Linked DNA regions of Caenorhabditis elegans. The gene in region 1 interacts genetically with each later gene. Each region holds a gene or a part of one and is shown on either strand. Other genes may lie near its edges. The genes, in order: eaf-1 and set-6.

Region 1 (8,276 bases):
ATTTCAGATTGATCCAAAAGACGTCCACGTCCATTTTCCGGACGGAATGGTGGACCTCCACCACCTCGTCTATCAAAATGTGGTGGTGGTGGACCACCGTGTCCTCCACGTCCACCACGGAATGATGGTGGTGGTGGCATATGATGCATACCGCCACGTGGTGGTGGTGGGAATGAGCTCATTGGACCAGCTCCACGGCCAAATGGTGGTGGTGGTGCGCCAGCGTTGAATCCTTGTTGGAACTGAAATTTTTGATTAGAATAGACATTTTAAATAACATAGAGCGGGTTTTACTACGTGACCTAGGAAAATCATGCACCCAGATTTTTCTGAAACTTGCCGAAAATGATCTTATAAAGGGTTTATATCGTTCTGTGGTGGCGATTTTCGAATGAAAATTTTTCTTTTTTATTTTAAATGGGTGGCCGAGTTTTCTGTTTTCTTTTAGCATAAATTTTTTCATTTTTTCGAAATTTTGAACCACCGAAACTCGTTCATTTGGGCAAATTTCGAGTCTTTACAATCCAAAAACTCAGAAGTCATCCTTTAATAACTTCTTACCATTGGTGGTGGTGGCTTATTTGGATCGAATCCCATTGGTGGAATACCCTGTGGTGGTGGAGGACCAACTCCTGGCGGTGGTGGAGCCGGTGGATATCCTGGAATTCCGGGTGGTGGTGGAGCATTGAGATTGAACTGAAATTAATTTGGTAAGATATAAAAGTCTACAAAAATCATTATTAAAGAGATAAATTACCATCGGTGGAACACCTGGAGGAAGACCTGCAGGTCTTGGTTGACCGGGTAATTGTGTGAGTTGATGTTGGAATGGGAAACCCATTGGAGGTGGATGTGGGACTGGAGGTTGAATATTTGGTGGTGGTATAGAAATCACTGTTTCGCCGGTTTCTTTATAAAGCAATTTCTTTTCAATTGGTAGAGATTCAATATCCAACATAGCTCCTTCACAAAGTGCCACTAAATCCAGCGGAAGTTTTTCATATGGGATTTCCAAGACTCCACGATTAGAATCCCATAAATCAGAAAATTGATCTGAATCCATCCCAGGACTTCTTGCCCAGTAAACTTTGACCATTTTCTTGGCGACCGAAACTTCACGCATTTTTGAAACAACATCGTTCGCAGATCTTCGATTTTCCATTGTGATGTAGGCGCATGCACGATTTCCGATAACTTTAACACGAGATGCTTCTCCACATGATTCGACGGCTTGCTTCAAATCGTTTTCAACTATATTTGTGGGGATTTTCTTGAGCCAAAGTGTACGTGAGGCGACTGTAAATTGAAGAAAATATTAATTTGTTTGAATTTCAATAAATTTGTTAAGATATTGTTTCGATACAATATTTCAGGAATTATTTCATAGTGATTTTGTATGATTTTTACAAGGAGCACCAATTTTTTATACGAAAAAGACTTCGAATGATTTTATTATTTTTAAAATCAAAATTGAAATCATCCAAAAATCCCTTTTTTTTGGAAGTTTTTTAGCTCTTCTTGTAAAATCATACAAAATCGCAACTCGTTGTTGTAAAACATACTAATAGTAAATCCAATTCTAACAGGTGGCAATCCCATTCTTCTTCTCTCTTTGCTCTCTCTTTCCTTCTCTTTTTCCCTTAATCGAGCTCGTTCCACATCTCCACTATTGTTAATTCCACTATTTCCACCACTTAATTCCAATATTTTTTTCTCTGGACTCTGTGCGGCTTCATTCAACATTGCTTGCTGTTGAGCTGCTGCGGCGGCTTGGAGGTCATTTAACATTGGATTAACACCATGTTGAAGAGCAAATGGATTAAGCAATGGATTTCCAAGCATAAGAAGATTTCGCTGAGCATTTGGATTTCCTTGTAGAGCTTGAAGTTGAGCAGCACGTTGTTGCAGTTGGAGCATATTCTGAGCATTTTGAACATTCATCAGTTGGGCTTGGTTGAGGCCTGAGAGATTTGGAAGTCCGAGCTGTTGATTTGGAAAACCTGGCGGCAGAGATTGTTGAAGAGCCATCAGATTTGGTGGTGGAGCTCCCAATGTTAAAGCTGCTGACGATGTTGGAACAATATGTTCGCCTGGGAACGGAAGACCAAATGGATTTCCTTGAGGTATCAAGACTTCAGCGAGTTTTGCGAGTATTTGAGGTTGAGTAAGCAAACTTTGAGCCAATCTAGAATTTGAAAAAAAAATTAGAAACATTCTGGAATTAAGAAAAAAATAAAATGCATCAAAAACTCACAACAGGACTTGAGCATGTGGCAGATTTTTCTGTTTCTCTGGTTGTGGTTCCTTTTCCTTCTCTTCTTCATCATCCGAGTATTCAAAATCTTTTGTTAACACATTCTGTATACTACTTCCATTAATCCGATTATTCTCCGCTAGAACTTCTTCTACTTTTTGACTCAAGGATCCAGCGAATATTTGAAGTGCTCTCTGGAGAAGATTCTTGTCCTTACTTAAAACTCCACTGCGATCTATGCCGAACTTCTGAACCAATTCCAACATTTCTCTCTCAGAAATAGTTCCAAGGAAGTAATCTTCAGAAAGCACAAAGTTCGGAATATCTGGGACAGATCTCAGAGCAGATGATGGTCCAGCACCGAGAAGTCCATCATCCGGATGTGGATTTGTAGGAGTACGAGATTTCGGTTGAGACGATGATGAAGACCTTTTTGGCTTTTTCTTGTAAACTCCGGAATAAATGCTCATATCAGCCTGTTTTCCCTTCACGGCGAGCTCAACTTCCTCGAAATCGATAGCTAAAAATCAAACTTTTTTTTTGAATTCTCCACCATAATTACTTACTTAATCCAGAAGCCTTGCACATCTCTCTCAGTGGTTGAATCTCTGATTCCTTGAAAACTTTATTGGACATCCACAAATTAAGAGTTCTAACTGTTCTCATTTTCTCTTTCTGTCCACACTTTAACAGCGGCATCAAAAACTTGTCAAACTGCTTCATAAACCGTGGGCCAAATGTGTCTTTTTCTTTAAGTTGATGTTTTGAAGCACGGACTATTGAATCGATTACATAGAGCACATTTAGACGTTGATCTGGCTTGCACTGAAAAATCATTAATAAAAATAAATAAATTATTTAATTTAAATTTCGATTTCTCGAAATCATTCTAACCTTATTGATAAGTTTTTCAACTGAAAAAACCACATGCTTATATTGGCTTTTTGCTTTGATCGCAGCCTTTGTTATATCCTGAATCTTGTTCTTGCTCATGTTTTTCGAGTCGAATAGTGACGACAATTCATTATTAAACGATTTCATCACTTCCGTCTCCATGGTGATCCCACTGATGAGAGTTTTGTTCTGAAAAAAGCCAATTCAAATTAAAATCGATAATGCGAAGCGAGAAAATAAACTGAATAAAAGGAATAGTGGAAAGATACAATTGCAGAATTAAGAGTAAAGGTGGATGTGCTAATTTTAACGAATAGCAAATATTCCAAACGCTTATTTTTGAAAAATCGATAAATGCGATATGTCGACGGTTTAAAATCCAATGTAAACTATTTTCCCACTAAGTTTTTTCATGATTTTGATACTTTTTCAGTAGTTGAATATAATTTAATAATTTATGTACAAATTCATCTAATTATAGCGTTTTGAATGAAAATAGGAAAGAAAGCCGGCATAAAAATGGTAAAGCGCCGAGGTCAACACTGTGCCGCACACTTGCAAAACGGCGTGCCAGGCTTGCCAACCGAAGACTCCGCCCACAGCTAATGGTACTCTCGCGCACACAATTGGCACTATTCTGAAGAATTTCATTGTAATATATAATAAAATTATCGATTTTTTTTTCAAATTAAAAAATTCAAAATATTCACATATGATTTAATAATAATCATTTTTTCAGTTTCACATGGCAGAGTCAAGTGATATTCCGAATGGTACTTACACCTTGACCCTCGGGAAGTCATTTGAAGTAAAAGGACGGAAAAGTGACCCTAAGGCAGAGCAATTTCACACGCTAAGATGTAGGTTAACTGCACAATTTTAAGATTAAATATATCAGAAATTTAAAAATATAAAATCGAAATAGCTAAAATTTACAGACGATTTCAAGCCAAGCTCTGTATCAAACAATGCCGACACCTTCATAGCGTTTGGGAACAGCGGTGATGTACATGTCTCTGTACCAAGCGAAGGAGACAATATGACTGTATATAAAGGATCGAAAAAAGAAGCAAAACCGAAAGAATGTCTTCTGTTCTTCGACAAAAAGACCAACACAGTTCGCTTGGAGAAAATTACGAGCAATATTAATGTAAAAAAGACGAGAGATCTAGATCAAGGAACAGAACTCGCATTGAAACGTGGAATCGAAAGATTGAGAACTTCTTCTAATAATCAGCGATCTGGACCATCTTCACCGGAGGAGAAAGCGAAAATTCAGAAACAAATGCAGAGAGATACATCAGATTCGAGTAGTGATTCTGATGGATCATCTGATTCCGACAAATCGAATGGCGATTCCAGTGATGATGAAGATGAGAGCGAGAAGATATTATTGGAAGAAATGAAAAAGCCCAAACCATATACAGAAAGAGAACCCGCACCGCCTTCGTCTTCAAATACCTACAATCACAAAGAAAGCCACGTGGCTCCCTATATATCAAGTAGTGGAAATAAAAACAAAGATTCTGAGGAGAAGTATGGATTGGCACTTAGCGAAAGCTCCGACGAAGATGACTAATTTTAAAACATAATATTATTCAGTGTATTCAACCGTCTTTCTTGTGTACTTGTACTAGTGGTGGCAGTTATTTGCTTCTGTGATTTTTTATTTATTTCAAAACCGGGCTATCTATCGCAATCATAAATTTTTTCATTCAGGCTATTCAACAGTTTTATTTTTTCAGGTTTTCTGTTTAATCCGTGCACTATTTTAAAGTCGAACTAAAGTTTCTCTGAAATTTTTAAAATTCGCTGAAACCATTTTATCAATAGAGCATGCTTCTTGCGCTAAACAGTGTCGTTTGTAGACGTCGATTTTATCTTCAAATTTCTGTGTTTTTCTCACATATTGTTCATGATTTCAGATGGAAACTCACCGGTATATTCCAGAACATGCCGTCCCAATGCCGATTTCAGCGCTATTCAATTCAACAAAAGAACGAATCGAGTACGGAACGGCAGACGTTGTTCGCGTTCAAGTGATGGGTGTAATCGAATCTGTGAAGTTCGGAGATTCTGATGTAGAATACATGATTACTGATAAAGATAATCATAATATTTTGGTTCAAAAAATCCTCACCGTTAGTCTGAATATATCGTGTAACATTGGAAAAAAGTATTAATTTCAGGCTTCTTTCACCGAAGAATCTGCCAAGAAGTTCAACGTCGGGGACCGTGTTGAAGTATTCGGAAAAGTTCGAATTTTGGAGAATGGAAAGAAGTTTTTGAACGCATTTTCGATGCACAAAGCTTCAGATGAACAATTCGCCGCTTTTCAAATAATCTGCCGTTTTTCAGAGAAGTTCTATAAAAAGGCAAGTTTCAGTGAATTTTTAAAAGCCAATAATTGCCCATTTTCCAGCACACACCTATCTTGCCAGCAGGCGCCAGCACCAATGTTCCTACTCGTTTCGGTTTGAAGAACAAAGTGGGAAGTTTGAATCGGTTCCCAATGGGAATGCTGGAACAATCATCTTCTTGCGAAAATAATATGGGAGTGTGGCCAACGGAAATTGAACAATTGGCAGCAGGAATATCGACAAGTGGACTTGTTAAAGAAGAATCAGATGTATCTGAGGATAGCAGTGATGATTCGGATGAAGAGGATGAGGAGGAAGAAGAAGAAGATGATGAGGAAGATTCATTTGATAAAGGACCAGTGAGCCTTGTGCCAATGGCTCGAAAGGAGAAGCCAAAAGAGGAGCCGGAACCAGAATATGATTCCTTCGAAAACGCCTGAATTTATAATATTCAGCTTAATTTTATTTTATCGTGTTCAATTTTCACTTATAGACATCTTGCCTTGTCTTTCATTCCACAATCTGTTTTATAAACTTTTATTTCTTTTTTTTTAAATAATTTCAATTTCTAATATGTTCCCTTAAAGGTTTTAAACCTTTTTTCATATCTTCAGTCGGCGGCACACGGTAATTGCCATTTTCCCAATATTCTTTCTAATGAAATTTCAGTATTCTACAACTAAATTTTAATGAAAGAAATTGGTAGAACATTTTATAATAAAAAACGCTTGAAATAAGCAAAATGAAACTAAGAAACTTCTATTTTTCACCAAAAAATTGATTTTTTAGTAATTCATCGAAAAAAAAATGGTTTCAGGCCTGGTCAATCCCCTATACCAATTAAATCTAAAATGCAATCAATCAATCTTCCTGTGGATCATTCCAAGATTGATGCTAACTTTGAAGGATACAAAGTTTCCATGAATAATGTGCACTTTTCGAGCAAAAGCCTGGATCAAAATTGTAATAAAAATCATTTAAATTTTCCATTTTTCGCAAAAAATAATTTTCAGTATGTCTTCGTGCTCCATCCAATGAAATGATTACTCTGCAACATATGAAAGTGTTCTCAAATGATAATCAGCTGTTTTGTGATTATTCGAAATGCACGGATTCCCAACAATTTTTGTATCGTATTTTAGACACCGGGCATATTCAGGCAATGGTTTATGAGAAAAAGGTACATAATTTTACTGTGAATGAGGGTTTCGCTTCAAAAATACTTAACGAATAAACTTAATTGTTTCTTTTCAAAAAATTAAATAAATAATTTCAGACCCAAATATGGAATACCTCGATCGTTGGCTCCATTGATGTTGGGACAAATGCCTCTTCCGCTTTTCCTACTAATCTCTTGTTCACTGAAAACAATCTGGTCGTCGCTTGCAATGGAATTTCTGAAATTACAGTTTTCCTGGCTGTCTCTGACTCAAATTGGGTTAAAATGCTGGAGCATAAGGTTTCAGAGCAAGGTCTTTCACTGATTGAAGCTCGAATTTTAAATGGAAAACTTAATATTTTGGCATATCACGTGGAAAGTGATGATTCCAAAAAGACCAGAAGCAGAATTCACTCGATTCGTATTAATTTGGATGGTTTGTATAATTAAATTTTGAAAAGTAAAAAATTTCCTTCTTTTTTTCCAGATATAGACTATGCTGATAGCCTTACAGTTGAGAAATCAATGGATTTAATTCAAAATGGACACTTTGAGGTTAATTTTTTGAAAATATCAGCGAGGTGCAAAATTTTGCAATGTATCCGGTCTCGACACGCTTTTGCTGTGAAGTAAAAACTGGCGCGCGCCTTTAAAGAGTACTGTAGATTCAAACTTATTTTTAATAGTTTATTTTTATAATTTGTGTGTTTTAATTGTTTTATTCTAGTTGTTTAATAAATATATATTTTTTAACGAAAAACTATTTAGAAAATTGATGAAAATTCGAATTTTTATCGATTTTGTAAATAATTTTCGTTAAAAATGTATATTTTCTTTAAAAAACTAAAATACAACAAGTTACAACACATAAATTTCAGCAATTCGTGAGAGAAACTATTATAAAATAAAGTTATAGAATACAGTAATCTTTAAAGGTGCACCTTCTAATATTTTGTTTTATCGTGTTGAGACCCGGTACAGTACTTTTGGTGCAACCTTTCGTGTGTAATATCCTAACCTTAAATTTATTTTTCCAGACTTGTACATTCACAAATAACGGCGAAATAATATTTCTATCGAGCGAAAAACCCCACGTGGAAGGGCAACAGGAAGATATGGAAGAAAAAGGTTTTTTTCAAATTTAAATAAATAAAAATAATAAAAAAATAATTTGTTGCAATACTACTTTGAAATTTTGAAAAAAAAGAACAACATAATTATTTTTGATCTACCATTTTCTTTTCAAATTTGTTCTACCGATTTTTTTAAATTTTCCCCGCCAAAAATGTTCCTTGTTTTTTTGTTTTCTCATCCATTCCCAATTGTGTGGCTAAAAGTCATTCATTCTTTCCATTGGTTCGACGCGAGCTCCACTCAAAGCCCCAATTTCTCTACAATGTTGAATATCTCTGGAATGAAACATTCGGAAGACGGCGCTATGAAGCACGAAATGGAAGTTCATTCAGCGACATCTGGACAATCCAAGCCGAAGCCTACAATCGAGGAGCAGTCTAGATATCTAGTTGATATCAAGCAGTTAATCACTCCATTCGACGGAGATGCTTCGAATTATCTGTTATTCAAGAGTACCTTCGACTACTTGGTGCAC
Region 2 (8,505 bases), on another chromosome or scaffold:
GATGAAGTCTAACAAAACATGATGCAATCTGCAAACAATCCAATTCATATATGCAAATTTGGTGATACTTCATGTGTGTACACCATTGACTAACCAATTTCCCATCCAAATTTGAAAACTTCTCATAATGCGGCCCACTTCTACAGGCAAATGTTCTACAAAGACATCTTTGCCTTCGAAACACCTTGTATTCTGAGCCATAATCCAGAGTAAGCTGAAATTAGTAATTTAAATGGTTATGTATATAACATTTTCAGACAAATGGACTTCATAATTTGCAATGAAAAATTAAAAACTATGAAAAACACAAATTTTTAGGATTACCGTATTTTCCTTCTGAGTAATGCGTCCCTATTAGACTTGCTCTCTAAGTGGTGTATCGAAAAAATAAAATGTTCTTCAGAAATATTTTAAAAGTATATTTTTTAGTTGTTCGTTGATTTTTCAATATTTATCCAGTTGATTCTCAAGAAATAATGTGTAATGGGAGTAATTTAAGGTGATTTTTTGTCTTTCAAATCACATACAAAACTGTACAAGTCTTACTGATCAAAAAATATGATATGCAACCTCTATTAGACTCTCGATTGGACAAATTGGAAATGAGATTTGCATGCAAAATGTACCATATATTCTGAACTTTTTCAGTTTAATGTAACTAAAATGTTGTACCCGGAACAGAATTGACACTTTTTCAGGCAGGCCCATCTATGGCTGCTTTATTTTAAAAATATAAAAATTTCCTTACAGGTTCTCCTGGAAAAATGTCCTTCAGAGTGAAAAAAATCATTCGCATATTGGCGGGTGTAAATCCTTCTTTGAAAAGTCGAAGAGGTTCCATATTCGGAGTACATGAATGATTTGCAAATCTGCCAACACTTCCTTGCATTTTGGCGTCCAAGTGAAAATGATGCTTGCTCAATTCGTCCAGTACATCATAGTATTCTGGATTGTTTTTGTACTTTTCACGAAGCAGGTTGTAAAGGTGTTTGTCTCCTTCACAGTCAGTTAACTGGTAACTATAATTTTCCAATGAACTATGCAGCCGTTCTCCATCAACTAGTTCTCCGCAGTATTCAATAATTGGAGTCCCTGCTGGAATGAACAGAGTAGATCGAATTCCAAATCCAATTTGAGGATCTGCACGATAAATTTCAATAGAGTACAGTTTCTTTTGAATCAAGTACGTTGCATTATTAGTGCAAGCTCCTTTACAAGCACATTTTGGTGAACATGCAAACCCAACAGTATTGTAGTAAGTCGGATTTCCATCGTTGTACATAAGGGGTTGAAAAGTATGCTGAAAATAGACAATTTGCAAAATAATTATTAAAACTGAGAAATATACTTACAAATTTCAACTTTTCATTTGTATCCGTTGTTTTGTTTCTAGATTGCAAAAACTGATTTGCAATAAAACACGGGCAATCTTTGTTATCAAAACAGTTGACGACTGGATCTTGGGAACAACATTTACAACGAATCTGAATAAAAAAGCTGATATACTTTTACTAAATGAAATATTGCATTGTCATTTACTTTTATTTTTAAATCATATATAATTCCTTCTCTTAGAGTGTTTTTTAATATTCTAACAGTTTCAACCCCTTACAATTTTGAATTAAAAATATTTTAAACATAATTCAAACATAAAACTACTACTAGAAACTGGAAGAAAAACATTTTTTTTAAACATAAAGTTGATGAAAACTCAGTTTTTACCGTTTTATTCTCGGATTTTGAAAAAAATCAAAACGTTTTCCAAATTAAGTTCAAAATTTTACAATTGTGATATTTGATGATTTTAGAGCCATAAAAATGGTTTTTACTTGTTCTCCAACTTGACGTTCTCTACTACTACTTATTCTACACGTTTTTTCTTAGGTCGCTCATCACAACTGTTCAAGAATGTTTTTCTATTGCCAAAGCCTGTCGTTGCAAAAACTATCGAATTACAATTTTAATTTTTCAACTTGCCAGTTGTTTTATAAATTCGAATCGAAAAACATCATACCACATTTTCTGACGATCCTGCAATTTTGATTGCTTCATATAGCAACGGCTCTTTAACTTTGTCCACCATATTGTTGATAATGTGATCATAAAGAAGGGGGTTTGGAATTTTGACTGTTTTTAGTGTTTCGCCTTTTGCATCTGTGTAAACTGGAATTCTGTGGGTATCATTTGACAAGTGAATATCATCCGTAATACGAATCCGTGTTCTAGGCGCCACATATATCAACTTTTCAAAGTAACGGTCGAGCTCTCTGAAATTAAGCTTTATAACATATAAGTCTACATAAAAATTCCTCACTCAGGTATTTCTTCTTCCCCATGATCACGTTCAGGTTCTTCATAGAAATTACGGCCAAAGGTGGCCAGACATCGAACAGCCATAAACAGAGCTCTCGTGCTTTGCTCGGCTCCCATGAATCTTCGGTAATATCCATTCAACGTTGGGTCTAGCTCTATAATGTCGTCGAACCTAACAGCTTCTTCGTGCATTAGACGGATGTCGTTGTGTTTCTTTATTACTTTCATTTCTTTTTTCCAGTGTTCTCTTCTTTCATTCAAGCTCATGTCGGAGTACTCAAAAATAGATGGGTGACGAAAGTCCGCAATCTGAAAATACAATTTTCAGCTAGAACATTGTCAATAAGTAGATAATTTTGAATGATACAGTTGAGCACTGTTTTTCAGTTATTGTAAATACAACAGTTTTATTCAATTCGGTTTTCAAATTTTTAAAATCTGTAAATATGATTACCCTCGCTGGGTTGACGTTTCGTAGTTCTGCACATATAGTACTGTGATGAGGAGCAAACGAAGATATTGTGCTGTATGTTTTCCTTTTATGACGTTTTGTTTTTGTCTGAAAAAAAAACATTTTGTTGCACAAGGAGGGGTCTCTCTAAATCTCTCTGTAAATGTTCTTAGCGAATTTGAACTAACGGAATTCGGTGGCAATAAAATATGTAAAACCCACTTGGCGTGCTGGAAATGTACATGATGTGGATGCTTCCATTGAGCTCGATGAGGTCCTACTCTTTTTTCGAGACTTAACTTCCAGTTTTCTTTCTTTCGAATGCTGGAATTAGTATTATTGTGAAAATTATGTTTTTTTTGTAGCAATTGTTTGATATACAAACAAATTCTCATCACGTACGATTAAAATATGAACATATCAGGGAGTCAAACAGTTCAAGAACAATTTTGATAATGGCCAATGGATGAAAACCGTATTTTTTCTGTATTTTCACATTCAAAACTTTTTTTAAAAATTTCTAGTTTCTAGCATGAAAAGTGAACATTGTCATTAAACAAATACAATTTGAAAGTAGTTTTTAGTTATAGAAGTGAGCAATCCAGTTAATCTGCATTCCAGGCCGTTGTCACTTCTGAGTAATTTGCTCTAGTGACTATTCACGTTCGAATCATTTTTCCAGAGTTCAATAAATTTGGAGCTGAAAGTCGCCAGACTGCTTCAATGAGCATTTGACGTTATACTTATTTAAAAATTAGTAGCAAGCTGCACATTTCAATTTCATACTTTTTTTCAGTACTGTGCAGAGAATACATTTTTTGTTAAAATTAGGCTAGTAGATATTACCGTTGAAATTGTTATATTTGAAGAATCTCGTTTCAAAAATAAAAACAACCTACTAATCTATGAAAAGATTCAACTGATCTTCTACGCTTTTCCGTCAAATTATTTGAAATCGCTCGATCAACAACTTCCTGCTGGTTTCTTTCCGTAGCCTGTAAAATGACTGTGATTAGGCGGAACTATAAATTTGCAACTATTCAGAATATATATCTTTTTGTTTGTTGAGAAGTCAAAAACATTGAAAACTTACTTCAGATTCATCATCACTAATTGTAATTATAATAGACCGTTCAACAGAGCTATTTGATGTGCTAGATAGGGAGTGATTTCTTTCATCTGAATAACTATTTGATGAGATGGGGCTTTTCCGTGGTTCTTCCCAAATGGTCAGTTCCTGAAGATAAGTTATCGTGAAAATGAAATCTAGGAAACGTTTCTATTTCAAACAAACTTCCATCTACAAAAATGGCACTTACATCGTCGTCGTCACTTATTGTTATTATTGGAACATTTGCTGTTGACATTGAATATGTTGATGAACCTCCAGTTCGAGATCGTTCCATTTTCTATAAGCAGTAAACTAATTAAAGTTGTGGAAAATGAATTTCATGTCGATGAATAAAAAATTACGATTATTACTATAGTACAAAGAAAAAATAAGATTCAATTATTGAAAACTTTCGAAAAAAAGAACTAACAATATGACAAGTTAACTCGCGTTTTGAAAAAATCAATAATCTTGTCCAGTGAAAAAGCGGAACAAATAGAGAGCAGACGTACTAACAGACGCAGATACTAAAGCAGTTTGAGAGAGAAGAGAGACTGGAATTGGGGAAGAGAGATTTAGAGAGTGCATTCTAACCAGTTCAATTGACTGACAAATGTGAGAGGAGCGAAGACAATATTAAAATCTTCAATTGTATTCGTATGAGCAGTATCAAAATTTAGAAAAAAAAGCCTATTAGTAAAATGTTATGTCTTTAAAAGAATGAAGGCACAAAAGACAAACGATATAGCTAAATACGATACGATATAGCTGAATACGATACGATATAGCTGAATAATTTTAGAATATACCAACAATATTCCAGTAGGTACAAGAAGCTTCACGTAGTTACAGAAATAGTACATTTTCAGCCCTACCTTTTAGAGCGTATTTTATTATTTAATAAAAACTACCATTAATAGGCAAAAATAGATGAATTTTTGTAATTTTGAAAATTCATAAATCTCTTCAAAGTAACTTTTTTTGAAATGTCTTTCAGAAACTTTGTAGTAAATTTTAAGCTCTTTCAGAATATATTAACAATATTTCAGTAGTTACAAGAAGCTTCACGTAGTTACAGAAATAGTACATTTTCAGCCCTACCTTTTAGAGCGTATTTTATTATTTAATAAAAATTCATCTATTTTTGCCTATAAATGGTAGTTTTCATTAACTAATAAAATACGCACTAAAAGGTAAAGCTGAAAATGTACTATTTCTGTAACTACGTGAAGCTTCTTGTACCTACTGGAATATTGTTGGTATATTCTAAAAGAGCTTAAAATTTACTACAAAGTTTCTAAAAGACATTTCGAAAAAAGTTACTTTGAAGAGATTTATGAATTTTCAAAGTTTGGAAAATCCATCTATTTTTGCCTATTAATGGTAGTTTTCATTAACTAATAAAATACGCACTAAAAGGTAAAGCTGAAAATGTACTATTTCTGTAACTACGTGAAGCTTCTTGTACCTACTGGAATATTGTTAATATATTCTGAAAGAGCTTAAAATTTACTACAAAGTTTCTGAAAGACATTTCAAAAAAAGTTACTTTGAAGAGATTTATGAATTTTGAAAATTACGAAAATTCATCTATTTTTGCCTCTAAATGGTAGTTTTCATTAAATAATAAAATACGCATTATAAGGTAGGGCTGAAAATGTACTATTTCTGTAACTACGTGAAGCTTCTTGTACCTACTGAAATATTGTTAATATATTCTGAAAGAGCTTAAAATTTACTACAAAGTTTCTGAAAGACATTTCGAAAAAAGTTACTTTGAAGAGATTTATGAATTTTCAAAGTTACGAAAATCCATATATTTTTGCCTATTAATGGTAGTTTTTATTAAATAATAAAATACGCATTATAAGGTAGGGCTGAAAATGTACTATTTCTGTAACTACGTGAAGCTTCTTGTACCTACTGAAATATTGTTAATATATTCTGAAAGAGCTTAAAATTTACTACAGAGTTTTTGAAAGACATTTTGAAAAAAGTTACTTTGAAGAGATTTATGAATTTTCAAAGTTTGGAAAATTCATCTATTTTTGCCTATAAATGGTAGTTTTAATTAAATAATAAAATACGCATTATAAGGTAGGGCTGAAAATGTACTATTTCTGTAACTACGTGAAGCTTCTTGTACCTACTGAAATATTGTTAATATATTCTGAAAGAGCTTAAAATTTACTACAAAGTTTCTGAAAGACATTTCGAAAAAAGTTACTTTGAAGAGATTTATGAATTTTCAAAATTACGAAAATTCATCTATTTTTGCCTCTAAATGGTAGTTTTCATTAAATAATAAAATACGCATTATAAGGTAGGGCTGAAAATGTACTATTTCTGTAACTACGTGAAGCTTCTTGTACCTACTGAAATATTGTTAATATATTCTGAAAGAGCTTAAAATTTACTACAAAGTTTCTGAAAGACATTTCAAAAAAAGTTACTTTGAAGAGATTTATGAATTTTCAAAGTTTGGAAAATCCCTCTATTTTTGCCTATAAATGGTAGTTTTAATTAAATAATAAAATACGCATTATAAGGTAGGGCTGAAAATGTACTATTTCTGTAACTACGTGAAGCTTCTTGTACCTACTGAAATATTGTTAATATATTCTGAAAGAGCTTAAAATTTACTACAAAGTTTCTGAAAGACATTTCAAAAAAAGTTACTTTGAAGAGATTTATGAATTTTCAAAATTACGAAAATTCATCTATTTTTGCCTTTAAATGGTAGTTTTCATTAAATACTAAAATACGCATTAAAAGGTAGGGCTGAAAATGTACTATTTCTGTAACTACGTGAAGCTTCTTGTACTTACTGAAATATTGTTGGTAAATTCTACAAGAGCTTAAAATTTACTACAAAGTTTCTGAAAGACATTTCAAAAAAAGTTACTTTGAAGAGATTTATGAATTTTCAAAATTACGAAAATTCATCTATTTTTGCCTCTAAATGGTAGTTTTAATTAAATAATAAAATACGCACTAAAAGGTAGGGCTGAAAATGTACTATTTCTGTAACTACGTGAAGCTTCTTGTACTTACTGAAATATTGTTGGTAAATTCTACAAGAGCTTAAAATTTACTACAAAGTTTCTGAAAGACATTTCAAAAAAAGTTACTTTGAAGAGATTTATGAATTTTCAAAATTACGAAAATTCATCTATTTTTGCCTTTAAATGGTAGTTTTCATTAAATACTAAAATACGCATTAAAAGGTAGGGCTGAAAATGTACTATTTCTGTAACTACGTGAAGCTTCTTGTACCTACTGAAATATTGTTAATATATTCTGAAAGAGCTTAAAATTTACTACAAAGTTTCTGAAAGACATTTCGAAAAAAGTTACTTTGAAGAGATTTATGAATTTTCAAAATTACGAAAATTCATCTATTTTTGCCTTTAAATGGTAGTTTTCATTAAATACTAAAATACGCATTAAAAGGTAGGGCTGAAAATGTACTATTTCTGTAACTACGTGAAGCTTCTTGTACCTACTGAAATATTGTTAATATATTCTGAAAGAGCTTAAAATTTACTACAAAGTTTCTGAAAGACATTTCGAAAAAAGTTACTTTGAAGAGATTTATGAATTTTCAAAATTACGAAAATTCATCAATTTTTGTTTATAAATGATAGTTTTCATTAAATAATAAAATACGCATTAAAAGGTAGGGCTGAAAATGTACTATTTCTGTAACTACGTGAAGCTTCTTGTACTTACTGAAATATTGTTGGTAAATTCTAAAAGAGCTTAAAATTTACTCCAAAGTTTCTGAAAGACATTTCAAAAAAAGTTACTTTGAAGAGATTTATGAATTTTCAAAATTACGAAAATTCATCTATTTTTGCCTTTAAATGGTAGTTTTCATTAAATACTAAAATACGCATTAAAAGGTAGGGCTGAAAATGTACTATTTCTGTAACTACGTGAAGCTTCTTGTACCTACTGAAATATTGTTAATATATTCTGAAAGAGCTTAAAATTTACTACAAAGTTTCTGAAAGACATTTCGAAAAAAGTTACTTTGAAGAGATTTATGAATTTTCAAAATTACGAAAATTCATCTATTTTTGCCTATTAATGGTAGTTTTTATTAAATAATAAAATACGCACTAAAAGGTAGGGCTGAAAATGTACTATTTCTGTAACTACGTGAAGCTTCTTGTACCTACTGAAATATTGTTAATATATTCTGAAAGAGCTTAAAATTTACTACAAAGTTTCTGAAAGACATTTCGAAAAAAGTTACTTTGAAGAGATTTATGAATTTTCAAAGGTTTGGAAAATCCATATATTTTTGCCTATTAATGGTAGTTTTTATTAAATAATAAAATACGCACTAAAAGGTAGGGCTGAAAATGTACTATTTCTGTAACTACGTGAAGCTTCTTGTACCTACTGAAATATTGTTAATATATTCTGAATACATTTTCTTGCATTAGGTTGGACAATGATAGAATGTTTGAAAAAAGTTACTTTGAAGAGATTTATGAATTTTCAAAGTTTGGAAAATTCATCTATTTTTGCCTATAAATGGTAGTTTTAATTAAATAATAAAATACGCATTATAAGGTAGGGCTGAAAATGTACTATATCTGTAACTACGTGAAGCTTCTTG

Evidence for each region.
Region 2: changes in eaf-1 (region 1) and set-6 impair growth when combined (synthetic growth defect), as found in Caenorhabditis elegans (one large-scale study listed by BioGRID).

Annotation. Positions count from the first base shown.
Region 1 is NC_003279.8:4,599,330-4,607,605, forward strand, and holds eaf-1 (Ell-associated factor Eaf), read left to right. Parts: upstream 1-3,887; 5' UTR 3,888-3,893; coding exon 3,894-4,008; intron 4,009-4,086; coding exon 4,087-4,727; 3' UTR 4,728-4,867; downstream 4,868-8,276. Other genes in the region: nrd-1 (CID domain-containing protein), read right to left, coding at 1-242, 562-696, 758-1,296, 1,563-2,185, 2,255-2,774, 2,821-3,079, 3,149-3,310; D1007.8 (Nucleic acid-binding, OB-fold protein), read left to right, coding at 5,074-5,289, 5,338-5,523, 5,571-5,948; C44E4.5 (NudC domain-containing protein 1), read left to right, coding at 6,360-6,471, 6,522-6,688, 6,785-7,103, 7,155-7,222, 7,705-7,795.
Region 2 is NC_003284.9:11,970,507-11,979,011, forward strand, and holds the start of set-6 (Histone-lysine N-methyltransferase set-6), read right to left. Parts: upstream 4,174-8,505; 5' UTR 4,171-4,173; coding exon 4,084-4,170; intron 4,002-4,083; coding exon 3,858-4,001; intron 3,760-3,857; coding exon 3,664-3,759; intron 3,089-3,663; coding exon 2,987-3,088; intron 2,873-2,986; coding exon 2,768-2,872; intron 2,623-2,767; coding exon 2,315-2,622; intron 2,268-2,314; coding exon 2,015-2,267; intron 1,485-2,014; coding exon 1,353-1,484; intron 1,301-1,352; coding exon 749-1,300; intron 215-748; coding exon 95-214; intron 29-94; coding exon 1-28.